Linked DNA regions of Alligator mississippiensis. Each later gene encodes a partner of the first gene's protein in a complex. Links are inferred from orthologs where the notes say so. Each region holds a gene or a part of one and is shown on either strand. Other genes may lie near its edges.

Region 1 (15,147 bases):
ACCTGATTTCCTTCCATGATAAACTGATGGGTTCTGGATAGTGGGGACGGAAGTAGTTGATGTGATACCTTGGCTTTGTCAAGATTTTTTACGCTGTCTGCCATGACATTCTTATTAGAGAGCTAAAGAAACAGAGACTGAATGAAGGTACTCTAAAGTGGATATATAACTTGTTGGACCATCATGCTCAATCAGCAGTTATCAATGGATTGATGCCTAGTTGGGAAGAGGTATTAAGTGGGGTTCCCCAGAGGTTTATCCTGGGTTCAATATTGTTTAATACCTTAATTAATGATTTGAAGTTTGGGATTGAGTATACACTTGGAAAATTTGCAGAGGGCACCAGTTGCAGACTCTCTGGAGGGTAGGGTTAAGATTTAGAATGACCCTGATGAACTGGAGAAATGATCTGAAGTCAAATGAATAAAATTCAATAAGGACAAGTGCAAAGTCCTGCCTTTCAGGTGAACAATTGCATATACAAATACAGACTGAGGAATGACTGGCTAGGATGTGGTACTGCAGAAAAAGATCTGGGTATTACAGAGAACCATCAACTGATATGAGCTAACTGCTCTTGTTGCAAAAGGCCAATAGTATACTGAACTACAATACCAGAAGTGTCTCTTGCAAATCAAGGGAAGTGATTCTTCCACTCTATTCTGCACTGGTGAGGCATGGTGTGGAGTACTGGGTCTAGTTTTGGGCCCCTCGTTTCATTAAAGATGTGGACAAATTGGAAAGAGTCCAGTGAACAGCAGCAAGAACGATTAGAGGTCTGGGAAGCATGACTTATAAGTCAATTTTGGAAGAGCTGAGATTATTTAGCCTGGAGAACAGAAGACTAAGGGGGAATTTGATAACAGCATTCAAATGTCTAAAGGGAGATTATAGAGAGGATGAAGATGCACTTTTGTCTGTGGCTGTGACTAGGAGCAATGGCCTCAAGCTGTAGCAGAATAAAATTTACATTAGACTTTCAGAGAACCTTTCCGACTCTAGGGTGGTCAAACATTAGAAAAGTCTTCTTAGAAAAGTTGTGAAATGCCCATTGTTGGAAATTTTCAAGAACAGGCTGGACACGCTTAGCTGGGATAGTTTAGTTAGGAATGATTCTGCCTTGAACAGGGGTCTGGACTAGATAACCTTGTGAAATCCCTTCCAGGCCTACTTTTGTATAACTCCGTATCACTCGTAGTTAAATAATTTTGTTTGCTGTGTAACATCATTCAAAGGGAAGCCTTGGTAGTTTTCAAATACTTCTAGTTATTGTTTAAAAAAAAAAAAAAAAGCAGCAGCAATAAGAATCTCACCTGATTTGGCTTTATTGGGTGGGTTTTTGATCCTTCTTCTGTTGCAGCATATACACTAATAGATGTACATGCCAGAGCACAAGGGACAGCGACCAGCTTGGCCATCTAGGACAGAGAAAGATAAAAAAAGCAGCTTTAAATGTTATTTGAGAAATCATATTTTCTCCTCTTCATTAACATCCAGTAGTAATTTCTGTGCGTCTGATCAATCTGACATGCTTAATCTGTTATTTGATTATTTAATTGAAATTGGTTTAAAAATGTACCTTTTAAAATCCTCTTTTGTAATATAAAACATTTTAGAAGAAACAACAGAAGTTTTTTAAACAAAAAAATACTCAGGTATGCAAACAGAGAGGTCCACAACCTGAAAAGTACAGTCTAGTGTACAAGTACAGCCCAACTACTTTTTAAAGCAATATTTTATTATTCAGAATTAATTTTGAAAGTACTCTAAAAGTACACTAGTATATCAGCTAATTCAGTCTCAGAGAGCAGTAAAAGTTGTTTCTCACTGTTACTATCATTGCCAGTACCACAATACTGTGGCTGGATATTTTTGTCCACACTCATTTTAGTTAATACAATGAAATCTTGACTGAACAATACTGTCATACATTGCTTATGAAGTATTATTACATATATTGCCCAGTCACAGACTTCAATCCCACTGTGCTAAGTCCTGTATAAACACAACATGAGACAATAGGTCCTAGTGGGAGGGTGTGTATTCCTCACAACTACTAGAGCCCCCTATTTTAAGGATAACTGGTAGTATTCCACAACATTTATGCTATTTCTCAGATCTTTTGAAATTGTGTAGTAAAACTCAAAATTACCATATACAGTAAAATCCCCATTATCTGACATGAGTGGGGAATGCTGGGTGCCAGTTATGTAAAAATTCCAGTTATCTAAGGCAGATAACACAGAGTGGAGGGGGAGGGGGTAGTGGCAACCACATGCAGAACAGCGGCAGCGCAGGGTGGTGGGGGCAATGGCCAATGTGTGCAAGCTTCTCCCCACCTCCCCAGGTCCAGCCGGAAATACTGGTTAAATAGAATATTCTGGCTTGCAGAATGCCGGATAAGAGGGATTTTACTGTATATCCAAAAAAACTTATCTAAAGAGTAAACTGTGTTTTCTTTTCTAGGTTCTACCCCAGAATGACACATTATTTGCTATGTGACCATGGGTATTTCCTATGTGATCACCTGGTCGAGACAGACCTGTCAGGCCTGGTTTTAGGAAATGCTGAGCACCCACAACTCCAATCTAAGTCAGTGGGAATAACAAGTGGTCAGTAAGTCAGGCCTGAGGTATCTCAGGGTCTGAACAAACTATCAGAACACAGTGAATATGCAGGGGATACGGATTTTCTGTGGAGCAACAATAAAGTACTATGTTAGAGATAAAGGATGTACACAGTGCATATCTTAGGGCCATTCCACTGATTCTTACTGTTCTTCAGTTGACATTTCATTTGATTTCAGGAGACTGTCATACTGTACCTGACTCTGTCCATATACATTTTTTTGCAAAAAAAACAGCAGATTTAAAAGAGAAAAGACTCAAACCATGACTCTGGAACTCTTAAAATGCTGAACATTTTTTAATACCAAAAATACACTATATTTTCTCTGACCTCATAATCTGAAACCAATATAAAACTATCAAACCTGGAAAATGTCAGCACAAATGGTTTAAGTTTGGTACAGTTATAGGCAAACAGAAAAGGGGCTTCTAACAGGAAACATTAAAATAAAATTAAGTTTAAGACCCCCAACAAACTTTATAGATAAACATATAAATAACAGCTCCCTAAGACAGAATTCTCAAACCATGTCAGTAAATAAGCAAACAACAGATATAGTATGACTTTAAAGATTGTAAACTGGGCTTGTGGTTACATCTGTAGACTAAGAGTCTGTTTTATTATAATCTGGAGTAACTGAAAGATACCCTCTCAGTTTACATGTAAAATAAAGTTTGTTTCTGTAACTGCCAGATTTACTAATTCTACCAAGATCAAAAAAGCTATGTTGGTTCATTCAAAAAATTTCCAGATATTCTTCAGATAAAACAAAAATAAAAAAACCCGAAGTTGTGTTAAATCTGCTAGACTAAAGGCGTGTCTACAGGAGACACGTTAATGTGCATTAGCTTAATTTAATGCACATTATGGACACATGTCTACACATGTATGCTCTTAATGCGTATTAAAATGGTGAAATTAGGCTAATCGCGCCTAAATTTGATACCTGCAAATTTGATACCCAGCTACTGCTACCCCCAATGCTTTGGCTGCAAATGCAGGTAGCAAATTTAGGTGTGATTAGTTAAAGCGCATTAATGCATGTGTAGACACCAGTAGGGGTACATGGCAGGGCTGCAGTGACTTGGTACTAACTTTAGTCCCAAGTCTCTGTATGTGCAGACACCTGGCAAAAATTGCTTAATGTGCATTAAATTGACATTATCGGCAATCAGCTTCTTTTGGCTGATTATACTGCTAATAAACGCTGCGTGCATGTGTACAGCTGCAGCATGCATGGGGCCAAGAATACAGCCTGGTAGCTTGGAGAGCAGCACCTGGCTGGTAAGTGTGGTGGGGAAGGGACGGGGGAGGGGAGGGAAGGGGCATGGGGAAAGCAGATCAAGGATCCCATGGAGGGAGGGAATGGGGCTGGGGCAGGTGCTGCTCAGCCAGGGTGGGACGCAGAGTGAAGTCATGAGCAGCTTGTCTGACGGCTGCAGGGGAGAGGTATGGGGGGCACATGCCCCCCTGATCTGTGTATGGGGCAAGGGTGGGCTGCCTGCTGTGCGCTCAGGCCAGATGCTGTGCTCGGGCTGGGAAGTGATGGCGCTGTGAGGGAGGACTATGGGGGAGCTATGGTGAATTTTGGAGTGGTTGTAGCCCTCCCCAGTAGCCCTGTCCCAGTGCCACCACTGACTGCCCCACCCCTGCACACCCTGAGCACAGATCTGGGGGGGCACATGCCCCCCCATGCCTCACCTCACCTGGGGTATGTGCAGTGGCAGAAGCCACCCTCCTCTCCTGGATCAGCAGCACCACACCCAGCCAGGCCATGCCTGCCACAGCCCCTCCCTTACCATGGGGAGCTCGATCTACTCCTCCCACTCTTCTTCCCTCCCCCACACCCCTTCTTTCGAACAGACTTACCAGCCAGATGCTGCTCTCCGATGCATATTGCCAAACTGACCGGTGTTGGCCAATATGGCTAGTCAATAATCAACACAGGTATTGGTCCAAAAAAGCTTAATTGGTGCACCTCTAATTACTTTTCTTCGAGAAATGAACACGACTTTCATGATAGTGTCTCAAGGTATCAGCAATAATTTATTCCTAGAAGACAGGTTTAAAAAACAGTGTAGTCTACAACTCCATAGGTTATTAAGTGCCCATCAATGGTTTCCTGCTTAAAAGAACTGATCCAGTGAAGTAATCCAGCGGAACAAGACTTTTGGGATAATTCCTGAAAAGATAAGAGAATGTTCCTACTACCCTTTAAGGATCATAGAAGTATTCTTGCTACTTACTGTTCCATTATGTCAAAGCAATGTCATGGTTATAACATTAAGCTCAAGACAGACATGATTTTAGCATTAAAATTTGTCAGTTGTTTCTGATATGCAACAAGATTACTGCAAATTATGTTTAATCAGAAGTCACGTAATTAGTTCTTTATAGGAGTTTGCATACTCCATTGCTCTTTGGTTAGTTACCCTACGAATGACAGAAAATCAAATGATAAGCATATTTTCTCTGAAAACCATAGTAAAGAATAAATTAAGTCTCACCCCCTTCCCTGCACACTACACCAGGCACCCCACCTCACCCTCAGCTCCCTAGTTGTGGGCTTTCCTGCTGCACCATGCTCTTAGCACTGCCGGGTGGGCCATGCTGCATCAGTGCAATCCCTGGGATGGCACCAGGAGGGAGAAGGAACCTGAAGACCCTGGCTGCTCTTGCAGTCAGAGCATAGGGGGTAGCAGTAGCTGGGTGGGAGCCCAGGGGCCACAGTTTAACCCCTTACAGGCTGCCAGTTGGACAGCCCTGGTCCAAAATATCAAAATCAGGTTAACCAGACTATTATTTTACCAGGTCCTCCTTTTTCCACTTTTTAATATTCATAACTTCTCTAATCCTCTAGAACCTCAATTAGTACCATAAGTTTGTAAATAATACTACCAGTGGCTTTAAGAATTTCTTCAGCTAATCATTTCAGGACCCTTGGTGAAATCCATTAGGCCCTACTGGTTTGAAGTCTTTTAAATTGTTCAGAAGTTCTTAGATGCACTGTTAATTCATTATTTGTATCCTTTCCCCCTATTTCTTTATATTACTTTTTCTAGTTTCATGGCAGTGTATTTTTCTGTGAAGAATGAAGCAAAGAAGTCAATATAACAAGAGCAAACAGCTAAACAGTGAGGTAAGAGAAAGAGGTGAACTCACTTATTGTTTTGGAAGAAGGCAAAGAGGCCTAGCTGGATCAGGCAGGCACAAAGAAAAGAAGAATGCTAACGTTAGAGCTGTATAGCAAGCAGAGAAGGCAAGCAGATAAAAAATTACAAAGCTGAAAGATGGTGCAGGGTCAAGGGAAGTTCAGACGGTCAGAAACACAACTGACAAATACTTACTAGGACAGAAAAAGAGTGAAGGTGATTTAGCATTTGTCTGCAATGGGAGACCTCTGAGGGGGCGACAAACATAACACTTGAACAGTTTTAAGAATGTCACTGATTGGGAACTGGTTCACAACTGTCGCGGTTTAGAGGTGTCCATACACACACCGCCAAGGTTCCTAAATAGGAGCCACTTTTCAGATATTGCAGTGTTGTCAAACTATCACCAGGGGGTGACAGTGAATATCCAGCTTAGCATGCCTTAGTAGCAAGTGGCCCAGTTTCCCCAATATTTCCTGAGCAGAGAAGGAAGACTGTATGAATGGCCCACAATTGCAATTCACTGATCCTCCTTCTCACTAACACCGAGTTCAGTAAAGACCATTCCCTGTGCTGTACCAAAATCTTCATGGTAGTACCCTGACTAGAGGTGCCTAGATATGTGCGTGGAAGGGTTGGGGGGGGGGGGGGGAGAGGAGAGGGAGGAGAAGCTGCCTGACCCCTGCTTCTGGTTCCTGAGAGCTGGGTGCTCTGGATTGTCAGAGCTTTTGTGGCTTGCAAAGAGCACTTTCTTACAGGCCACTCATCAATTTTCTTCAATTTGTGGTAATGTATCACAGGCTGTTTAGGAGGTGAAGGGCTGACCAGATAGTTGGGGAGGGGCAGGTCTACCTGGACCTCTGCTTCTCCCTTCCTGGGGGGAAGGGTACTCCAGAGTGCTGCTCAAGGTCTCTGGCTTAGCCTACTCCCTTAAGAAACGTTACCTCCAGGTGGTCAGGTGGGAAAGTGCCTAGACCCCTGCTTGTGGATTCCTAGGGAGCTGGGTATTCTGAGGACTCCCCAAAGTTTCTGCTTTTAAACACATTTCCCCACAAGCTGCTTATCGGTTTCATTGCATTTGTGGCAACTGACCAGGCTTTGGGGCATCCCAGGCTGATTTGGGGTGGGGGAGGAGGGTTGGCCAGGTGCTTCAGGGTTCCTGGGTGCACTGCTGAAGGTCTCCATGTAAGTTGCCGGCATTGCAAGCATTTGACCAGTGGCTTGGGAAAAGTGTTGCTTAAAAATTGCAGAGATCTTGGATGGCTCCCTGGGAATGCAAAAACAGGGGCAGATATGTGGGTTTTCCAGAACATTTTGAATTGGAAAAATTTCCAAAGCCCTAAATAGAGCACAATCTGATATAGCATGCTTATTTGACTTATATTTAGTAAACAAAACTAAAAAAGTACCCCCACGTTAATTTTATGTCTCAATAGTAACAAGTATTTGAACTGAAATGTTTGATTAGGGAAAAAAAATTAAATACAGCACACTTAATGTGGTTTAAATGTTACATTCAAACAGATTCAAAGCTTTATGTGGAGGTGTTCAGTCCAGTCACAGCCCCCCTTTTAATTCCCTGGATCTGGAGACCAGTGAATTTCCTTCCGGTATAAGATTCTGGGGCTCTGCCACCCCTGACACCCCAGCCTTATGCCACCTTGATGTTTAATGTCTTGTCTGATAAATTGCTTGTCTAAACCATCACAATCCTGTTTTCTTCAGACCACTCCCCTGTCTGTCACACTTTACTGGACAGCCTCCCTTCTTCACATCAAGTACCCCAGATTTGTGACTACTGCATCTCAGCCTCATCTAAACTGCACATGGCTTTATCAATATTACACATTCCCATTGAATCTTAAAGTGTAACAAACTATAATCTAACTCATAACTTACCAGATGCACCTGTGCCACCGTATCTAGCTGAGTGCTAGGGGCAATGTAAAGTGCTAGGTACTGAAACCTAAAGAACTAGGCAGGCAAGGGTTAATTCCTATCTGGTTTGTTTTTTTAGCTAGAAGTGCCTGTGCCCTGAAGCCCACTTACCACTTCTTTGCTACTTGGTTTCAGATATCCTCTCTGTTTACCTTCTGGTAACAAGCTTTAGGAAGCAGATTCTTGCTCCTGTACTAACTCTGTACGCTGCCTCCTGCTCCAGAACACTCTCATTTAATCCATGGGGCCACGGGAAGGTTTCTGCTCTGTCTCCCCCTGGGCTCTGTACCAATCCCTGCATCCATCCACTACAACCAGATCAACCAAACCTAACCCCTTCATCTTTCTCTTGCCCTCCTTGAACTGCTGTTCTTGCCCCTTTTAACTGCTGAGCCTGCCCATGTGCAGGTGAGCTGCTTCTTGAAAAGGGGGTGAGGTGTCATGTCCTTTCTGGTTCCAGCTGCTCACCTGGCTGCTCCAGCACCCCTCTGGCAAGGTAAGCTTGTCTTTTAACCCCTTTTTGTCCTCACCCCTCTCACAACACTGAACAAGTTAAAGGACCATTTCAAAATAACACCTGATTATCCAGGCATACTTTTGAAACGTTCCAGGAGCTTTACAACATTCTAAATAGGCTTGAACATCTGGACGCTTGCAGTTTAAACAGCATTTAAAACAGTCTAAGCGTGACGTCTATCTGGAACTCTGCTGGAACAGTTATATACAGGGACCTACTGTGTCTGTAATTGCACAATTTCTGCAGAAACTGCAGATTTTAGCCAGCTCCGCAAAAAATGGTGGGCTTTTTAAAAACACAGCAGAGTCACTGCAAAACAAAACTAAACCAAACCAAACCCAATAAACAAAAAAAAAAATACTTCACTGAAAATATAATGCTGGCTCCCCAGGGGGGATTGCCTGCATGGTCCCCTGGGGGAGCCAGCAGTCCTTGTGGTAGGCAGCAAACCAGGTGGGAAGTGGGGAGGGAGGCTCCTGGCAAGAAGGACTGCTGGCAAAATGGCTGCCTGTCATGAGGCCCCACCCCTTTCCACCAATTGGTACCGAAGGGCAAGGGTGCATGACGGACAGCCCTGACAACAAATCAGTGGCAAGGAGCAAGGCCAAGTGACAGACAGCCCTTGCAACTATCAGCAGTGACGGATGGGACCACTGAGACCCTTCAGCTAGAAGCATGGCTGATTTTCTTGGGCAAATCCCAAGGCCCTACTGCCCACAGCCTGAGAAAATGGCAGCCGGCCTTGGGATTTGCCCAAGAAAATCAGCCAGCCGCCTCCTCAAGTTAGGTAGACCCCTAGTTATATAGCACTACACCCTAGTGGAGACACAGCATACGCTGACATGTTTTCCTGCCAGAAAGGCCACACCACTTTTCTGAAATTAAACTGACAAAGCACTCTGACCAGCATAGCTGTATCTAAAACACAGGGTTTGCTAGCAGCTAAAAGGAGTGACTTATTTCACACTCTTAGCTGATGTAATTATAGTGACAAAACTTTTTAGTCAAGACCTGGCTTGAACAGAAGACTGATAGGGCCTTACTCATATTTAGAGACTAAAGTCAAGTCTATATTACACAAGCATTGCAAGTTTATCTGAGTCAGGGAGGAGCACAAAATAAACCACACAGCCTAACTGACTCAGGTACACTGGCAAAACTGTAGTTTGTACAACATCCAATGCAGTTGTGCTGACAGCAGGATGCTTACCCTTGGCTTAATATGTCATTTAGGAAGATGATGCAACCCCAACAGAAAAAACACTATGGCATATTCTCAGCATTAGCTATGTCAGGAGAGCCCTTAGTGATGCTGGAATAGCTAAAGCCATAGAGGCCCTTCTAAAGCACAGACAAACCCTAAAGGTTTAGGGAGAACAGAAACAGGATGACAATAATCAAACCAATTAACACATGAATAATTGCCTTTGTGATAATATGACCTAGAATAAAATACCACGGTCAGGGCTAGTGAAGATGTCACTCAGAAAGACACTTATCTCTTGGGGAACACAGAGCACACAAACTTTTATTCTGCTATTTGAATATATTCTGTTAAAACAAATTTTCTTTATAATTACATGTTAATAGATTGTAATTGCTTAAAATCATTCTTCTTTACCTATGAAGCCTTCTCAGAATTAATCCTTATTGTCACTGTAATCCAGGACACAATACTGCAAACAACTATACCTGGTTTCAATACAACGAAGGAGACCAAAGTTGTAACATTATAAACGAGAAGACAAACCAGGCTTTCCAAAGGAAAAACACAAGATAGTTTTTGCTTGTTTTAATGCACATACCATATTTACTGTGGTAAATTAAAGCAGCCAGAGAGCTGTATTGTGGCAAATTAATAAAAAAAGAAAAAGAAAAGGAGGTGTTTTATGAATGCTGAAAATAGTTCAACTTCAGAATAGCACTGATTAGACACTTACTCAAGACAACTGCATGATTATGCTAGTGGGAGCATCTCTACTGTCCAGTAATTGTTTTAATGCAATTATTTTTTTTTAAAAAGGCTTACTTTTCCCTATTGAAATGACAAAAGCTCTACCAGACAAAACAAAGAAAATCAATATCCTAATTTGTGCAACATCCAATCAACTTTGCCAGGTTCACAGGTTAGTATGTTCCTTCCTCAGACTAATAATTAGGTATAATGAAGTAAAATACAATTACTGAGAATGCCAAGGTCCAGAACACATTGAACAAAACAAAACAAGGTTAAGCAGAAAAAGAGTAAGATCACCTAATGAGCATTAGAAATGTAATATTATGTGGGTCAAGTCAAAGCCTTCTTGTTTCTTTAGAATTTCAAATAGTCTATAAGGAGATACTAAGGACCAAAGAAGAACATGATCATGAAGTCTTAACAAATCTGCAAGAGATGATGAAAGCAGTACAGTGAAAAACTTCTGTAAAAAGCTCATGGCCATATAAATCAATCTGTAATTTCATGACTAACTAGTAAAGTGACTTCAGAACAGCAATGAATCATCTGTCTAATCTGAAGTAAAAATCTCATATTCTATTGCAAAGAACCAGTAAAAACTCTCAATAAATGCTCATTTAAACTCTTTTATATTAAAAGATTTCCTTTAAACTGAAATTGTACAATGCATGTTCGGCTACCCAGTACGTGCGCTATATTTTTATACGGGTTCTTTTTCCTCTTGTGGTTTTCTTTTTTATCCTTAGTAAAGGGACCCTTAAGAAGGATCCAACCCAAACTAAAGTCCATTAATATCTTTCCTCTAGCTTTCAGACTCATAGATTGTAAGGTCAGAAGGGACCTTGCAAGGCCACTGGGTTCAGCCCTCTGCACCAAGCAGGAACGATAACTGGGGGTCAGGTAACCATCTTGTCTTCTCTTGAAGATTTCCAAGGTAAGTGATTGCACCACCTCTGGAGGGAGCTTATTCTACAGTCTGGACACCCCAACTGTGAAGTTTTTCCTAATGCTGAGCCTGAATTGGTCTTCCAGGAGTTTGTGGCCATTACTCCTGGTTTTCCCCTTGGGTGCCCTGGTGAACAGTTGCTCACCAAGCCCTTGATATACTCCCCTAATGTAGCGGTAAGCTGCTAGCAAGTCCCCTCTCAGCCTTCTTTTCTTCAAGCTGAAGAGTCCTAGATCCCTCAGCCTTTCCTCGTATGGCTTCCTGTGTAAGATGGATCATACAAGTGGTTCTTCTTTGGACTCTCTCAAGCTTGTCCATGTCTTGTTAAAGTATAGTGCCCAGAACTGGATGCAGTACTCCAGCTGCGGTCTCACCAGTGCCAAATACAGTGGAAGAATCACCTCCTTGATTTTGCTGGAAATGCAACGATTGATGCATGCCAGAGTGCTGGTTGCCCTATTGGCTACAGCACTGCACTGCCGGTTTATATTCATACTGTGGTCTATTATTACCCCCAGGTCCCTTCCATTCGTGCTGCTAATCAGTTTGGTGCTGCCAAGCCTGTAGGTGTGCTGGGGGTTGCTCATCCCAAGGTGGAGCACTTTACATTTATTGACACTGAACTTCATCAGATTCCAATCCGCCCAATTTGCTAGTCTGTGTAGGTCTGCCTGCATCTGTAGCCCATCTTCAAGAGTGACCACATTTCTCCATAACTTGGTGTTGTCCGTGAACTTGGCCAGTGAGCTCTTCACACCCACATCCAATCATTAATAAAGATGTTGAAAAGTACTGGACCAAGTACCAACCCCTGTGGGACACTGCTGCCCACTACTCACCAGGATGACACAGATCCATTCACTACGACTCTCTGGGTCCTATCCTGAGGACAGTTTCTCACCCACCTGACTGTCTTGGAGTTAAGCCCACAATCCTCCAATTTTCTCATGAGGACATGGTAGGATACTAGATCAAAGGCCTGTTGGAAGTCTACGTATACAATGTCAACCTGCTTTCTCATGTCCAGGTGGCGAGTTACCTGGTCATAGAAGATGAGGTTGGTAAGGCAAGACCTGCCTGTGATGGAAGTCATGTTGGCTTGTCATTCAGAATCTTACTTTCTGCAAGCTTATCTCAGATAGACGACTCCTTGATGACCTTTTCTAGGATTTTCCCTAGGATGGAAGTTAGGCTGATTGGCCTATGGTTACCTGTGTCCTTCCTCCTGCCCTTCTTGTGGATGGGTACAACACTGGCCCTCTTCCAGTCCTCAGGGACTTCTCCAGAGCACCACCAGTTGTGGAAGAGTTTCGCCAGGGGTTCCACAATGACTTTGGCCAGCTCCTTCAGCACTCTTGGATGAAGAGCCAGTCCCAATGACTCATATATGTCTAATTTTTTTAATTCATCATACACCAATTCTATGGCAATAGTAGGAAGGTGATTATTCCTACTGTGCTCATCCTATATTCTACCTGGCGTTCGTCTTCAGTCCCTGGTCCCACAGCACTTCCCGTACTGGTGACCTAAGCTTGTTGAAATAAGATCTGATTCAGTATCCAAAGCAAACACAGCATAGGATATGTTGTTAAACAAATATGGGTGAGTCCTGAAGCAGAACTTAAAAAAAAAAGAAAGAAAAAGGCATGAGCCCAAACAGTATTTTGTAGACATGAATTCAATACGGATACAGATGCTGACTTCTAAGGTGCTGACATTTATGGTGTTGCTTTGTGAATAACTGAATTGAAAGCAAGTCAATGATAATAATCAGAAAGCATCTCCCTTAATACTATATAGAAGGGTGATTAAAAGAGACCGTGGTACCATGTAGTACATCACAGGGTTGTTTTCTCACATGGATAACACACAAACCGGGCTTTCCAAAAGATAAACACAAACCAGGCTTTACACAAAACACCACAGACTAACAGTCAGGATTGGCATTATTTTTGATCAGTGGACCATAACAACAGACTTTGCTAGTGTGTGAAAACTGGAAAGCACACCTGAAAGTCAAAAGAAAACTGTTAAAGGCATGCTTTTAAAAAATAGAACTAGAATAAAACTATCAAAACATAACAATGAAGCTGTCAAACTATACTTGCATAATTTGGGCTTTAAGTTTCTGCATTTCAAATAATCTACTTTGAAGTGTCAGAATCATATCAAAGATCAAAAATACAGAAACAGTGAGACGTGTGAATTCTAAAGAGCCACAAAACTACAAAGCATTCAGGTGTCTTACAACTGAAAGGCTTTTATTATGCTTTAATTTATATTCTACATGTCCTGGAGATCCACACAAGTTAAGTAAGTGGTGTTTCTCACTGAAATGCTGCAAACTTGGTATTCTCTCTCCATCTTTTCGGGCATATCTAAAGAAACCTGTCCAGCAGTTGCGACTAAGTCTCGTGCAGAAAAAAGTAGCCTCAAACGAGCAAGCTATATGCTGAACTCATACATTACTTTGAAAAAAAGCTTACTTAGAACAGTTCTATTTTAAACGCCCCCCCCCAATTATTTATCAGCTAGTTCAATGTAGGCCTACAAACTGCTACACGGGTTGCATAAGATGCACATTAGGAACATTTTTCTTGTTGTTTATATACCAATGCTGGAACTGGCTTCACAACAAATCTTAATTTGTAATTGTTAACTGAGAGACCTCAATGAGAGGAATCAAATCTTGATGCAATGCTTTTCTGTATTTGTATTAATAAAATACATAAATGATAAATTCTTTGGAGGCAAAATTTGCAGATAGCACAAGGATTGTTAGATTAGTAAATAATGAGGGGAAATAATTATTGTAAGAGTGATATTAATACTCTCATTAAAACTGTCACAGTCCAACAGTGTCTTTCAGTATAGCTAAATGCAAGGTAATCTGGAAACGAGGAGGTTAGTCCTATAGGATGGGAGGCTTTCCTTGGAAAGAAAGAAGTTAACTACAAGGAGGCCTGGGCATCCTTGCAGATAGCTGCCTCAACACAAGCTCTTTGTGACATGTTATGAGCTAAAAAGGCTAATGAAATATATAAAGAGGGGAATTGCCTTCATTTTTCTGAGCAGGGACCAAGTCACCCCCCACCACTGGGACCCCCATAGGTCCCAGGGGAGGCGCACCCAGGCCTAGGGTCAGCGAGGACCTAGTCAGTGAACTTCTGGAGGGACTGGACATATTTAATTCAGCAGGTCCTGACAATCTCCACCCCAGAGTGCTGAGGGAATTAGCAGAGGTCATTGCGTGACCCCTGCCATGGCTTTACGAGCACTCATGGTGCTCTGGCATGGTGCCAGAAGACTGGAAAAGGGCCAATGTGGTTCCCATTTTCAAAAAAGGGAGGAAGGAGAACCCAGGAAACTATAGACCAGTCAGTCTTGCCTCGGTACTGAGTAAGCTTTTTGAGAGAGTTATCCTGGCGCATGTCCATGAAGGGCCAGCAGGGGAGATTATGCTTAGGGGCAACCAACATGGGTTCATTAGAGGCAGGTTCTTTCAGACCAACCTGGTGGCCTTCTATGACCAGGTCACAAAATCCTTAGACGCAGGGGTAGCAGTGGATGTAGTCTTTCTGGACTTTAGGAAGGCCTTCGACACTGTCTCTCACCACATTCTCGTTAAAACTAGGGGACTGTGGTGTCGACACCTACACAGTCAAATGGGTCACTAACTGGCTGGAGGGCCGCACCCAGAGAGTGGTGGTGGACGGGTCATTTTCGACCTGGAGGGATGTGGGCAGCGGGGTCCCCCAGGGCTTGGTCCTCGGGTCCGCACTGTTCAACATCTTCATCAGCAACTTGGATGAGGGGGTAAAAAGCACCTTGTTCAAATTCTCAGATGACACTAAGATGTGGGGAGAAGTGGGCATGCTAGAAGGGAGGAATAGGCTGCAACTGGACCTAGACAGGTTACAGGGGTGGGCGGATAAGAACAGGATGGGTTTCAACACTGACAAGTGCAGGGTGCTGCACCTGGGGAGGAAGAACCAGCAGCATAACTATA
Region 2 (14,759 bases), on another chromosome or scaffold:
CCACAGAAAGGCTCTTGTCAGTGGCCGGCGCAGGCTGCTGGCGTTAACGATGCAGCCAGAGCTGGGACGCAGGGGGCCAGGGCCTGGCTGCCGGCTGGAGACGGGGCACTGGGTTTTATTGCCCCTGGGGGCCATTCAGCTGCTCCCTGCTGTAGGGACTCAGGGGGGTTTTTGGGGTGGGGTTGAAAATGTTTCGTGTCCCAAGTCCGATCAGCCAAATCTGTTCCAAAATCCATGCGAATCCTTCAGGAGCCCTGCTACCGGCAAGCATCCTCCACCCCCGATACTTCCAAATCCTTTGGCGGGCATCCGACGTGCAAGCCCAAGCCTGGAGACGTGGGGTTTGGACACCCCCGAGTTTTGCTTGCCCTCAGCCGTATGGCCGCAGGAGCAAGCTAGGGAGGAGTCTCCTATTCCCTTAAAGCCGGCGTGTAGCTGAGATCCTCCCACTGGAAGTCGAAGTGGGAGGCTAACTATGAGGAAGTCCTGTCTGCAAGCAGACCCGGGTGCAACCCTCCACTACACAGTGCTTTTTTAATTGCATTACCTCGGTCAGGGTACTGCCCCCTGCCGTGGTCGTGGTTTTCCCCCGCCAGTAGGAAAACCATGTTGGTGGTTGTGGGATTTCCCTGGGCAGAGCTGGGGTTTTCCCCTCTGCAACTCCCGCCAGCATCCCCTGCACTGTGAGGACGGGCTCCTCTTGGCTTGCCTTGGTGACGGGGAGCAAGTCCCTGAAAGACCACCTTGCTCCTTCCTCCTCCTGCACCCACTCAGAGTGGTTTCCCTTCCCCTCCTGCACACAGCTCTTCTTTGCAGACACCTGGCAGCTCATCTCCACGCTGGGGACTGAGCGGGGCATGAGATAGCATGATCGATGCTTGCCCCTCCAGAATGAACCATGTACCCAGCCACATACCAGTGGGCCCGTGCATGCTAGGTGCCCCCCTGCTGCCGCTCCACGTGCATTTCCTGCAGTTGCACATCTGCTCCATGTGTGGCCGTGCAAGACCTTTGCACGCGCAGGCTGCAGGTCCAGGAAGGCGGCACAGGCCTGCTCAGTGGGGGTCCCTGCGCTCTGATCCTGAACACACCGGCACGTCCTGAAACCTGCAAAATTAACTGTGCGCCAAGGCAGAACCTCTCCCCTCTACACCGTCCCCAGGATATGCTCGCCGTGGTTGTTGGACAGCTTGAGAGCAGGTCATTTCACCTCTGTTCCCAACAGACTTAGATGAAGGTGTAATTCGGGTCCACAACTGTGCATCCCCCAGGTGGATCTGGCAGGGGAGACATTTCCGATGGGTCGAGGAGTGGCACAGCTGGGCTCAGAGCTTATTTTCCCGGCATGGATCTGCTTTGGTGGTATATAATCCAGCTTGTGAAGGTGCTGGGCAGCTGTGGGGATAACAGGACTGGCCCAGGAAAGCTGGGCTGGATTCCCAGCCCTGCCACAGACATCCTCCATCACCTTGGCCATGTCCATTAACCTCTCTGGCACTCAGCGAAACATAAGGGTAATAACCTTCCTTTTGTCTGTTTTGGCTGCGAGCTCTTTGGGGCTGGTGCAGACTTACTGCGGGTGCTGCATTTTGTGATGCATAAGGTACACCCCGCAAAAAGGGGAAAAAGGATGAAACTGGGGGGGGAGAATATTTAACCGTAAACGTGTCATAAAAATGGACTGAAATTTAGTGATTTTTCATCGCATCATGGCATAAGATGTGTCTTAATGTAGACCTCCATTTTCAGCACAAAGCACGTGTCATATACATCAGATAATATGGTATGTACAGCACTTAGCACGGTGGTGCCCTGATCTCCACTAACACCTCTAGCTGACTGCCATACCAGCGGCACTATCATGAGACAGGTCCTGAGTGGCATCCTACAGCCCACCCCCACTTGTTGAATGCCAAGAGGATGCAATGGGGAATGCATTGGGATTGACTCCAGCACAACCTGGCTCAGGTGGAAACAGCCCCTTTATTGGAGAGGGGTGGCATGACCACTGGCTCCCAGTCCAGTCGCTGGGACATGGGGATGATGAGGCTTGCAGCTGCAGTGCCAGGGCAAGGTGAGGAGCAGGGAGCCGATGCTTTCCATGCCACGCAGGTGAGCTGGTGCCGGCTGCTGGATGCTGCCACCTCGTGGTGGCTGGGCAGCCCCGACTTGCACAAGGAGCCCCTGCTATTCAGAAATGCTGGGGGTCACTGGTGGTTGCGGGTGCTCGGCCCTTCTGCTGTCTGCTTGTCATGTCCTGATCCTTTAAATCCCCAATGGGATTTGGATCTGTCCCTGGCAGCTTGGGGTGGAGGGTGGTATTGGCTTGGGCACAGGCCTGGGAGAATCCTCCTGCTCCTCTGTGGCATGGAAGGGTGTTTTGGGTCCTCTGCATCCCTGCTGCCACCCCAAGACAGCCCCACATTTCAGGGCAGTGTTCCCAAAGGGGATCCCCGGAGGAGGGGGAAGACAAGGGTGGATGGAGCTTGCTCAGGGCCTGAAACGGGCCAAGTACCCACCTTAGAAGGTGAGTGTGTCCCTCCTGTTGCCTCTGCTGGACTGGCCTGAACCCCTGTCCCAGAGCCTGGCTCGACCCTTCGGGAAGGGGCTGGAAGAGGGCTCAGAGCCTGATCCCATGAGGCTGGGGGCTGTCGGCAAGGTGGAGACAGGAGTGGGAGGGAGGTCTCCTTCCTGCGTGAGGGGAGCAGTGGATTCTGTCCCCAGGTGCGAGAGGCTGGAGGCTGGAGTTGAGGAGAGCCTCGGCTATATGCCAGACAGCAGAGGTGGGATTGTGGGAGGCTGAGGCTGAGACAGAACTGACCTTTGGGCCCAGGGGGGGGATGCAGAGAGGGAGCAGAAGGGGCTCAGCTGTCCAGGGAAGGGGTCACAGCTAGCATGAGGGTTGGACGCTCGGCCCCCGACACGTTCCCATTTCAAGGTCCTGATCCTGGTCCTGCCGAAGCCTGTGACTGAGCTTGGGCCTGATGGAAGCAGAAGGCCCAGCGCCTGGGTGGGCAGGGGCCGGGAGTGTTGGCTCTGCACTGCTCAGGCACTGGTGTAGTTATAGAAGCTCTGTACCACCCAGTCCCAGTGGCTGGGGAACCAGCCCCGCACGTAGCACAGGGGCTCCAGCCACCAGGGGTAGAATGCTTCCCGCGCCCGCGTGGCACCACCACGGAGGATGGCGAGCGCAGCTTCGGTGGCAGGGAGGGCATCCATGTACACGAGGCCCCTGAAAGGGAACAGTCGCTCAGTCATTCACCCTCCCATGGCTGGCACTGCCCTTCTCAGTGCAAGCTGGTGCGTCACAGCAGCCGAAAGGTCTAGACTAGCCCAGGGCTGTACACATCACACGCAGGCCTACAGATATCCATGCACATGCACTCCTGCATGCATGGATGCAAACAGCCTGGAGCACGCATTGTATGGAGGCACGTGCATAAGCCCAGATGTGAATGCAACGTGTTGTCTTGCATATCACCCACGTGGCTTTAGACATGTTCATGCATGCACACGCATGGACAGAAGTGCCCTGCATGGACCTAAATCCTGTTGCAGCTACATGTACACACCTTGTCTTCTCCAGTGCCATCTCTGTGTCGATCAGCCCCAGGACGCAGAGAGTGATGCTCATGTCTTTCTTCTGCATGGCGAGCTCATGGCGCAAGGAACTAAAGAACCCATCCAGGGCAAATTTGGTGGCAGAGTAGGAAGTGGCGAAGGGGGTTGCGATTTTCCCTAGGAAGAAAAAACGAGAGAAGGGGAAACCCAGAGAAAATTGGGTCTGAGTATGAGGCCCTGCTGGGAGAGGAGCCAGGGAAGGGAGGATGATCTGAGCTACATCGACCCACTGCTCCAGCTGGACAGGCTTCCCATCTCCAGCAGAGGCAGTGTGAGACGGTTCCCTTCCAAAAAATGCACCAGGGGAAAGTACTCCTTCCTGACCCCGCATAGCCACTGAATAACCTAATATTTGGCCTCTCACTCCAGAGATGGCTGTCTTTTAGCCGTGTCCTTGACAGCCCATGTGAAGTGCTGTGGGGGTCAGCAGCCCAGACAAGCTCTAGCAAGGGGCAGTCAGACTCTGAATCGAATGACTGTGGCAACACTGGTTGCGGACCGTGAGGAAGCACAGCATGCCGGGAAGTGCAGCCCTCCTGGATCGTGCTTTGTGGAGGTCACAAACTCACCTGAGATGGAGGTCACCACAACCACGGAGCCTTTGCTCTCCATCAGGACCGGAAGCGCAGCCATCGCCAGGGCCACGTAACTAAGGAAATTCACCTGTGGAGGCAGGAGAGGGGGCATGAGAAGAATGAGAAAGTCACCGTTCCAAATCTACACCCCTCCTGAGCTTACCTGTAATGTGAATTTACAGGTAACTCTTGGCCTAAGTTTCCCCCTGAAGTTGGGGTGTCGCCCCTTGCTACCCCTCTCTATCCCCAGCCCCCAGCTTCCACTTCCACATTAATAAAAGATTCAAGCCTTCTCATTACCATGTCTCAGCAACCCCATAAGTCTGCCCCTCTGGGGTCCTAAAACCTGACCTCAGGAGGACTCCACAGAAAGGCCCAGCATGGACAGGCATGGTGCAAGAGCCAAGGCCCTGTAACACAACATCAGTCAGGTCCTACAGCAGCACATACCTTGGCAATGAGACGGACAGACAAGGGCAATGCTCTAATCAGTTCAGCTCTCTACCTGCAGGCTTTCAGACCCCTCCTCCCCCTTTCCCTCCAGTCAGGAGCAAAGCATCACAGGCTTTTTTGTTTCACCCTTTCTGGAGCCAGAGGGCACAACTGCAGCCCTGCCAGAAGCCAGCGGCTCCTGGGAGCTGCCCCCAGCTTGATCCCCGCAGGGGCCAAGCCTCTCTGCCCCTCTCCTCCACCCCCAAAGGACTCCTACCCTAAGAAAACCCACCTGCAGAAGCCAGCGGGTGTGCTCCACGTCCCCATCCCACATCTGTAAAGGGGTCGCACCAATGTGGTTCAGCACCAGGTAATCCAGGCCCCCTGCAGGCAAGGGGGCAGTGAGAGTTGAGTAAAGCACCCCCCACAAGTCAGGCAGCCAGGGGCTGCGAATTGCAGCACAGAGGCACACTTGGGGCTTCACAGGCCAGATAAAATGGCCTGGATCTGGCCCACAAGCCGTAGGTTGCCAATCCCTGCCACTGCTTTTCCCCCCTTACACATGCACAGCAAGAACGGTTGGCTCTGACCAGCTGAGCTCACAATACACAGTCTGGGTCCTGCTTCATGCTGCCAGTCCAAACTCTCCTCTTCTACGCACACATCCCTGACCAAGATGGGGAAACAGAGGCACCGTGCTCCTGCGGTGAGGAGGGCTGAATAGATACCCAGAGAGATGGAGGGGAGTGCAGAACGAACCACGATAACCTGCGGGTCAGGCAGGGCACCCAGGAAAGCTGACGCTGCACATCTGGCTCTCACCCATGCAGACCGGCTTCATGAGTGCAAGATGCAGCAATGCACAGCCCGTGGAAAAGGAGGTGCAGCAATGCACCCCCCCTCCCCGGACCCAAGCTCATGGTGAATTGAAGCAGATGCTTAAAGGGAACCGCAGAGTAAAGGCAGTTTGGTGGGGATCACTGCCGTCAGCTTCTCCGAGCACCTTTGACCCCGTGTCACCTCCTTGCCCACACAGCCGCCATGGGGACAGTGCTCTGCTCTCAGCTGGGTTGGATCTCTGGGATCTGACTCACTGAGACCCCACCCTGCTGGTTCCTCCTCCCCAGCATCAGTTGCTTTTCTTCTAACAGACCAATACCTACCCATCTTTTGCACAGCGAACTGCATCACCCGCTCGGGCTCCGCAGGGGAGATCATATCAGCCGGGATGTAGAAGACCTTCTTGGCTCCCAGCTGCAGACATTTCTCCGTCACCTGGAGAAATGACCCAGATAAACCAATTGAAGTACATTATCAGGGCAGGGGCAGGGAGCTTATTTCCTACTCACCTCCCTCTTTTCTTGCCTGGGTCAAGGATGAACAGAGACACACTTTTTCCATCCAAATTTATAATCACACAACCTACAGGGGACCAAATTCTGCTGATGCACTCAAGTCTTGTTTACAAGGGGGAAATTAACTGGAAAAGTTCTCTGTGCGGACACTCGCAATCTGCTTTCCAAGTGGATTAATCTTAAAAGAAAAAAACCTCTCTTATTCTGGAATAATCATGCCAACATGGAGAGCTATTCTGGAATAGCTGGTAAACTGGAAATCCATCCTTTTCCTTCAGCTGGAATACTTTTCAAGCGTAGACAAGCCTGAAGGAGCCAGGTCCTTTGACGCCGTCACAGCACTGTTTGACATGGAGGAATGAGTCAGGGGTTGAAATGTGATGCTAGGCCTTGGGCTTGTGACCCCCTGCCCTAGAGCAGAATTGAGCTCGGAGCTGTCGAGATGAACGTTACACCATTCACACAACCTCAGGGGCATTTGCTCTCAATGTTGCTCCACCTTGTTCTTCAGAGAAGCCTGCTATGAATGTCCAACCTGCTCCAATGACCCTGCACAGGTCAGGTTCCCTCCTAGATCATCTCTCCCACCATGCATCCAAATCTGATGAGGGAAGTGGTGCATCCTAGGAGTCAGATGGTGGTGCTGCCTGAGAGGTGTGAATGTGGCTGGGCAGCTCACCCATACCAGTTTGATGGAAAATGTCTGACCTGCCCTACATCCTCATTGTTTTTAGGTCCACGTCATCAGCCCTGCTGCCCTCTACCATGTGAAGGAGGTCTCACCTTCTGCAGCACAGCTTCCCTCCTGGCTGTCAGCACTATTTCGGCACCAAATCTGGAATAATGATAAGCCATCTGCTCTCCAATCCCAGCGCTGGCACCCGTCAGGAGCACGCGGGCGCCGGAGATGGTTTCTGCAGGGTGGAAAGAGGAGTAGCAATGACTGAGGGGTTCAGACCAGTGGCCACAAGTCTCTGTGCTTCTCCAGAGCCAACCAAGATTCAGGATTGGGCTGGAAAACCCAGTCTGGGTGGGAAATAACATGGGAACGCTGGTCCGGCAAGGGCGGGGAGACCCTTCTCCTTCCGAGTGGCACCTGGAAAGACAAAGTCTAGCTCTGACCGAAATTTTGGATCAGTCCCTGGGTCACGTGAAACCCTATCCCACTATAGCTGCCGGGCAGATTTGACTCCCCTATCTCGCTGCAGTCGAGACGCCTCCTTTTGTTGTGACCAATTTGCTGAATCATTACGCCTCCTGTTCCTAATGAGGCCATCCCTTGCAGACATGTGCAACCAGCAGCCAGAGCTCCCAAACCCTCCTACCACTGACCCGCACCACCTCTGCCTGCCTACAGTGCTGCCACCCCCCTGCCTCCTCCTCCGCCGTGTTTCCACTTGTTTTCACAGGTCTCCCAGCTCCCATCTGCCGCCGGCTACAAGGAGAAGCAGTCCCGGAGAAGCAGACGACTCTCTCCAGATGAGAACGCCGCAAACCACCATTTCAAAACTCAGCCTTTTTTTCTCCCCCGACAGCTTCTGGCTCTCGTGCTTTCCTTTCTGGGCCTACCTGGGTTAAAGATGTCTCTCCAGAACAAAGCCAGGAGCCCGGCGGCAATCCCAGCTGCCCACAGCGCCTTCCATCTTGCAGACATTTCCCCTGCGGCGCCAGACGACAATGCAAGGGCGAAGCCTCAAGGCTGAGTCCCGTCCCAGCGCTGTTCACCTCTGCCCCTGAGGACAGAGGACAAAGTCTGGGCCCACCGCTCCCTCGTGCAGGCAGCAGGGAGACCCTTCGGGTTGCTGATTTACCTGGAGGAGACAGCTCTGCCAGGGGACCAGGTTGCAAAGCAGCTGCAGTTCCACTGAGCCGGGAGATGGGAGCTGCACAACCCTGAAAACAGAGATAAAAAGGAGCAGGGCCATGATGCTCCTGACTGACTGATGATACCCAGGGCCGAGCATCCTCTAGGAGGAACAATGCCCTGCTATTGCAGAGACATGGGAACTTCATCCTGTCCCCCCCCCCGCGGTGTTTGGCCTTCTGCAGGCTCGTTAGGGCCGGATTTCGGTGGCACTTGGGTCAACCCAGTCAAAGCCCGTGTCAGGGTTACAACAGCCTCTCTCTCGCTGCCTTGGCTGCATGGTTTGGATGAGGCGCCTCGTCAAAAGATGAAGGGAAATCACAGAGCGAGGAGCAAAGTCTTGCGACGGTCGGCGCAAGCAAGCTCCCCACGACCAAAACCTCGTTACCTCGGTCTCTAGGGAGACGAGGCTGCAGCCCGTCCGTGACCCGGACCTTCCTTGCAAGCTTAGACGCAGAATTAGGATACGGCTACAATTCCCCTTCATTTTTATCACCGCTCAGTCAGGGGGGAAATAAAGGACTGGCACCAAATCTTCTTGAATGCAGAGTTTCTCTCCTTTTGCTTCAGCCCAACATCGACAGATGACTTATTTTAATAGTCTAATCGTTGTTCTCCGATTGGTTTTATTCAGATGTTTTTGTTTCACGCCAGTTTAAGGAACTGAACTGAACCAGCTCTCGCGGCCGTGGAAAGAGTCGGTCAGTTGGGATGGATGCGCCTGCGCGAGTCCCACGCACGCCTGGAGGGGACGATCCCTTCGCAGTATTTATATTTCCAAGTGGCAAGCCTGCTTGATTTGTATGACTCATCTAAGAAACAATGCAGATATCCACTAGGAGACATTTAATTACACTAATCATTACAAGCCAGAGTGATGATACAGTGTATGTATATCTAATTTTGGGTGATATATTCTGTACAATCTGCATGCCCCCCCACCCATGCTGTTTCCTCCTGGGTCCTGCCCAGCCCCACCTCGCAGAGGCTGCTGGGACAGCTCTCCCCCAGACGGGGATCACGTGACCCCACCCCAACCCGGAAGCCAGGCCGCTGCCATGCCAGCTATTGAGGCGGAAGTGCGCGCTGCGGCTGGGGCGGGGCCGCGCCTCGGCAACAATGGCGGCTTGGCCACGTGACTGCAGCCGGCGACTACAAGTCCCGGGGGGCTGTGCGGCGAGCCGGCCGGGCCGGGCGTGGAGGAGTCGGTGCAGGCGGGCGGGCGGCGGCGCGCTGCCCTTGGGCTGCGGTCATGGCGTCGCGGATCTTCCCTGTCGTCAAGTGAGTGCGGCTCGCCGACCTCCCCCGGCTGGGGGTGCACGGGGCCGGGCACACGCGTCCTCGGGGGGTCCAAGGGGGCGCCCATGGCTAGGGAACGCACGTGTCGGCGGGCACGTGACTAAGGAACACGCATGTCTGGTGGGTGCAGGTGTGATTGGGGAACACGTGTGCTTGGGGGGGTGTGCCCATGTGTATGGGGGGGGTGCAGGTGTGATTGGGGAACACGTGTGCCCTGGGGGGGTGCAGGTGTGCCCTGGGGGGTGGCACATGTGACCAGGGACACGGTGCCCTGGGCTGGGGGGGAGGGAGCGGCCCGTGTCCCCTGGAGAGCGGGGGCTACTTCAACAGCACCTGGAGCCACGCGAGACCCACCCCGATGCCGTCTCTGACGGCTTCCCTCCCAGGTTCATGGTCAAGGGCAGCCTGGCCGGCGGCGCGGTGTACGTGGCGTACGACCAGGGCCTGCTGGGAAGCGGCCAGCAAGGCGCCGAAGCCCTCCGCAAGGCGCAGGCGGCGCTGCCTCCAGCCATCAAGGAATGGACGAACTACGTCGGCTGGGAGGTGAGGACGGCGCAGGCGGCTGGGGGGGCGCCGCAGGGAGCCCCTCGCTGGAGGGGGAAGGAAGCAGAATTCGGGTTCTCCCGCGGCATCGTTTTGCCGCCGACTTCAGCGGAGTCGGGATTTCACCTTGGAAGGAAAAGGGATTGTGCGCTCGTTTCTTCTCTCCCTCCACGGGTCTTATTGGAGGTGGGGTGCGCAAGAAACAGTTTGCGGAGGACAGGAGAGGAGCGTGAACATGCCGTGTGAGACAGTTTCTAACCCCCTTGGGGGTACACGAGACACAGGCAGGGGTATGTGGGTACCCCAACACTCTCACCCTCTCTTCTTCTCTTGCCCCTTCCACCTCTCAAAACTATGGCCAAAAATTTGGTGCCCTGCACATTTGCACGGTGCTTTAAATTCCCCAGTAATAATTTGGCATGCCACGCTTTGCATAGCACTGGATTCAGCCCTTCAAACTTCGGCCAACATCGCCTCTAGCCCAGGCACATGCTTGAGTGGTGCACCCCTGGTGTAAAAGGTGTGCAACCCTGCACACACCAGATCAGACATCTATCATATCACAGCCTTATAGACACAGCCCTTCTTCCAACATATAGCACACATTAGTCTGAAAATATAAAATCCCCTGGAAAATTGAGTGTTGAGGTACTTATTAAATTTTTCAGAAGTTAGGGGGTACTTGCTACTTAAAAGGTTGAGAAACACTGATCTGGGAGGTGTTTTTATGATAAGTAATGCTCCTGACCCCTTGTTGGAAAGCCTCTAAATCAGAGGTTCCCAGCCACTGGGCCGCGGCCGTGAAAGGTTGGCTGCCAGGTCGTGGCACGAGCCCCCCTCTCGGACACCAATCTGTCCACCCCAGCAGCAGTCGCAGCTGGGTGCCAGGGCAGCCCCAAGAGGGAGACTGCTAGCTCTGGCTCCATCCCGCTCCGCAGTATGAGACAGGTTGGGAACCATTGCTCTAAAAACTACCGAATGGATCCACCCTCAAAGACCCACTCCTGCCCTGCTGCTTCCTGTTAATAACATGGTCTATAAATTGCTTGCGGTAGTTTTCCCTTGGCCTGGCTCTGACTCCCTAGATTGGAAAATCTGCTGTGCAGGGACAGTGTTTCCTGGACTAGGAAAGCCCTAGTGCCATAAATCGAGATATAACCATAATAAACCAAGTCCTGGTAAAATTTAACAGTGATATTTTTAAAAGCAGCCAAGTGGATTCAGATCTAAATCATTTTGGTGCACTTTTAAAATGCTGCCTACTGCCCCAGTCTTACAAATGGGCCAGTAAGAGAGAAGGTAAGAGCCCAGGTTTCTTTTCTGTGCCCCATGGAATTGAAGAGGGAGTTAGGTGCCCAAATACCTTTAACAATCGGGGCCTGAGGGCCTTGTTCAGCATGACCTGGGAAGCCTGGTGGTGCCTGTTCTGCTCTTTCCTCTCTTAGCATGTTGCTTAGCGGCTTTGTATGTAGCTAGCGGGCCAGACATTGAGGTTTTGCCTCTTGTTTTCTCTTTCAGCTTCCATCTACTCCAAAATTTGACTTTTCTGTCTCTGAATCCTGGAACAAAGGTAAGGCTTCTGCTTTTTTGCTGCAGAAGGGGGCTGCTGTCACTGATGTAACTTATCCAACAATCCTATTGTGAGGACTTGGCGAGAGCTAGTGCATGGAGCACTGGATTAGGATTTGGGAGACCTGGCTCTGCCACTGACCTTCAAGGTGGCCTTGGGTGGATCTCTTTACAACTCAGTTCCTCAGTTTCCTTGCCTGTAAAGTGGGGATAATATTGGCCACCTTTTATTCAAAAGTGCTTTAAAATCTACTGATAAAAATGCCATGTTGAAGGCAGGTGGCCTTTTTGCAGCTAGTAACCCAAGTACAGAAGCACTCGTAGAATTGGCAACAAAGCATGATAGTGCTGAGCTGCTCTTTAGGAGGTCATCAATTAAAAATTGAGGAGTTCTATAAAATCCTTCAAGTGCTAGTACAATCAGTGGGACTCGGCATCTAACCTGCTGTGATGGTCTGAAAATGTAAGATGGTTCCCGTTATTATTGGGACTTCTCCAAATAATACAGTGCCCTTCTCCAGCCTTTTTGATCTGATCATTGCTAACATATGTGGAAAACATCTAGAAAATGAACTCAACCTGCTTCTCATTTTCCAGAAGGAGAGACTGTGGGCAAGTTGCTTACCGTTTGCAGGCCTGAGTTGCACAGCAAGTCTGTGTCAGACCCAGGAATAAAATACAGAGTATCCAGGCCTGTGCTGTAACCATGAAGTCTCCCTTCCTTCAGACCCCTTTAATATCCTAGACAGAAAGGAGTGAAAGGGACCACAAGAGGACATCTCATCCAGCCCCCCTGCTCAATGCAGGGGCTGAATTGCCCCAAACATTTGCCAAACCTACACTTACAAGCTTCCAAGGACAAAGGTTACACCACTCCCCTGGCTAGTGGGCTAGGTAGTGGTGGTGGGGAGGACCCACTGACTACTGATGAGACCGTAACAACTGCACCAGAATCAGGAATTATTCAGGCCTAGACTTGACTGAAGATTCCCTTGATATAAGCCAAGATCTCTGGTATTATGTTTAAACGGGGAAGGGCGTGTGACCCACGATATCACATTATTGGTGGTACAGCATGCTTTGTTAATGCTTTTCTCAGGACTCCCCTCCATGTCTCTTTTTTCTTGCAGGAGTTCACACTGCCATGTCGGCTCTGTCTGTAGCTCCCACCAGGGCTCGTGAATACACCCAGAAAGGCTGGAAGTATGTGAAGGACCTTGCTAAATGAACACTCTCCAGGGCTTGCTGCGTCTCCGAGATGATGCATAGCACGCGCCTCTGAGGGGCAGCTCAGCCACGCAAGGGCTACAATAAAAGACTTTGGAACTTCCCTTTGCATTCGGGTCAGTGTCGGCACGTAGGCTCAGCCACGGGGGCTAGGAGCCACAGTGGGGACAGGGCCTGATTGGGGTGAGTTCTGCCTAGACCGGTGCATTCAACCGCTGTTATAAAGTTTACCATTATAAAGCAGGTCTTTCAGTATTGTACAAGTGTAAACCAAAACCCTACAACACCTAACCAGCCCAACAGACATACTAAAAGATATGGTCCAAGGACAAAGCCCAGTACAAATAATCAGAGTTTCAGCAACTGCAAGGAGACGAGGAACATTTTTCTATCTTAAGCTAAACCCACTGGACTGACTGCTATCTCTGACCTATCATCCCATCCTTTATAATCCCCAACACTGATTTAATGCCAATCTTGTGTCCCCTTTGAATCCACTGATTGCGTAGCCTTATTCAAATCTACCTAGATTTTGGTCTCAGTAACTTCAATGAGACCTTGACTAATACAGCCTTGTTTCCACGTAGTATATAGGCAGCGCCATCAGACCTGCCTTTAGCCAAGGAAAGAAATGCTGCCTCTTATGAAAGGTGTCTTGAATTCTTTTTGGAAACATGTGAAGGGTGATACAGGAAATGATTTGAAGCAGGAAAGGTTAATCACTTTGCTGATGGAGACCAGCTTCTGAGATAGAAGGTATATCTACAATTCAGGCACTGTGGCTTGCAGAGACCTACTTAAGCTAGTTTTAAAACTAACTAGCTTGGGTACCAGTGGCTGGCTAGCTGTAAAAGCTAGAGTCTGGAGTAATTATTCTTGGAGCATTTACCTATCTTGGGTGGGTGTTGCGGCCTGCCTTCCATGTGGCTGCAGCTATGCTGACAAAAGTACCCCAACTCGGGAGTTTAATGCCAGCACCTGTATCTCTATACAAGCTGCAGGGTGAACATCAATTTTGTCCACACCTGGGCAGAAAGCCGAGCTGCAAAGAGCTGAAGCAAAAGTCACACAGCAGATCTGGCAGTGGGAGGACTAACCTTACACGGAAGCATTTGTGGCTCCTATTGTGCTCTACTATGCGGAGGGCAGAACCCAGGAATCTTGGATCCCAAGAGCTGGTTTTTCAGCAGAAGTTGCTGGGGCCAAGTCCAGTCCCTTCTTTTACGTGCCTGTCATGAGCTGAGACCTCTTGGAAAATCCACTCGCGAGGGGGTCTGCGAGTACTGCTGGATCTGGATGCTTTGCTATATGATAGTCTCATACTCCCGGTGCGTGGTTTCCATGTAGAACTCCTCGTGTTCATGGTATATTAACATCCGTCTGTGCTGAGGCTGCTGGCTGGCTGAGGCCTCCCTGACTGTGCTCTTTGTGTCTTTCTCTTCTAAGTAAAAAAGAAACCAAACCAAACCACTATCAGCAGTGATTCTTCTGTAGGAGTTGGGATGAGCTCCTAGCTGTCACACCCAGAGCGGTATCTCTGGTGTCCCTGCCCCAGGGGTCAGAGACTGAGAGCAATCCATTGTGAAAATGAGCTCAGTATCTGGGTGCTAAGGGTGTTTGGAGCAGGGTATTTAACTTGGGTAAAACTACACAAGGTTCCTAGTTGGCTTTGGCAGGGCATCATGTCTGGTGGCTTCTCTGGCCCCAGGGGCTTGGTGTGGGCCTGGTACTCAAACCTGGTGGCTGCTGGGTCTTGCTCAGATGGTCAAGGCTAGACAAGTCACCAGACTTGAAGTCGGGGAGCAGGTTCCCTGGGGCAGATTAATAAGGACCTGTGGGGGATTCTGCCTTTGCTGCAGCAAGGGGCCTAATACAAGCCTGAGGTCGCTGGTGATGTGGAGTAAGAGACAGAGGTTGGGGGTTAATGGAGGAAACAGGCATGATCAGCTAGTTACCAAGACACCTATGATGTTTCATCCCTAGATTTCCTATGGGTGTGACTTGGGCTCCGCTTTCCTTTCCCCAAGAGACAGATGGATGCTTTGAGTGGCAATTCCCATGGCTCCCCCAGAGCGAGTAACCTAGCAAATTTCCACTTTGTCTACTGGACAGAACTGGGGAAGGTGCTGGCTGTGCTGGCCCACGTCCCTCGGCGTTCCCCAGAGCAGAAGCTGAAACTCCCTAGGGCAGCAGGAACTGGATGGGGTAAGGGAGGAGTTATTTGAAACCTCCACTTACCTGTTTCACTATCAAGGGTCCTTCCAAAGAGGAAGA

What was found.
Region 2: APOOL (region 1) and MICOS13 share a complex: the UniProt entries of both Homo sapiens proteins name them as parts of the mitochondrial contact site and cristae organizing system (MICOS) complex. The link is inferred for Alligator mississippiensis from reciprocal best matches to the Homo sapiens genes APOOL and MICOS13.

What each region holds. Positions count from the first base shown.
Region 1 is NC_081831.1:56,200,047-56,215,193, forward strand, and holds the start of APOOL (MICOS complex subunit MIC27), read right to left. Parts: upstream 7,031-15,147; 5' UTR 6,990-7,030; coding exon 6,873-6,989; intron 1,419-6,872; coding exon 1,314-1,418; intron 1-1,313. UniProt on the Homo sapiens protein: Component of the MICOS complex, a large protein complex of the mitochondrial inner membrane that plays crucial roles in the maintenance of crista junctions, inner membrane architecture, and formation of contact sites to the outer membrane.
Region 2 is NC_081839.1:4,000,901-4,015,659, forward strand, and holds MICOS13 (MICOS complex subunit MIC13), read left to right. Parts: upstream 1-9,026; 5' UTR 9,027-9,099; coding exon 9,100-9,128; intron 9,129-9,532; coding exon 9,533-9,689; intron 9,690-11,207; coding exon 11,208-11,259; intron 11,260-12,388; coding exon 12,389-12,486; 3' UTR 12,487-12,588; downstream 12,589-14,759. Other genes in the region: HSD11B1L (hydroxysteroid 11-beta-dehydrogenase 1-like protein), read right to left, coding at 3,046-3,232, 3,573-3,738, 4,191-4,284, 4,921-5,012, 5,792-5,903, 6,767-6,897, 7,553-7,637; disintegrin and metalloproteinase domain-containing protein 10, read right to left, coding at 13,790-13,926, 14,724-14,759. UniProt on the Homo sapiens protein: Component of the MICOS complex, a large protein complex of the mitochondrial inner membrane that plays crucial roles in the maintenance of crista junctions, inner membrane architecture, and formation of contact sites to the outer membrane.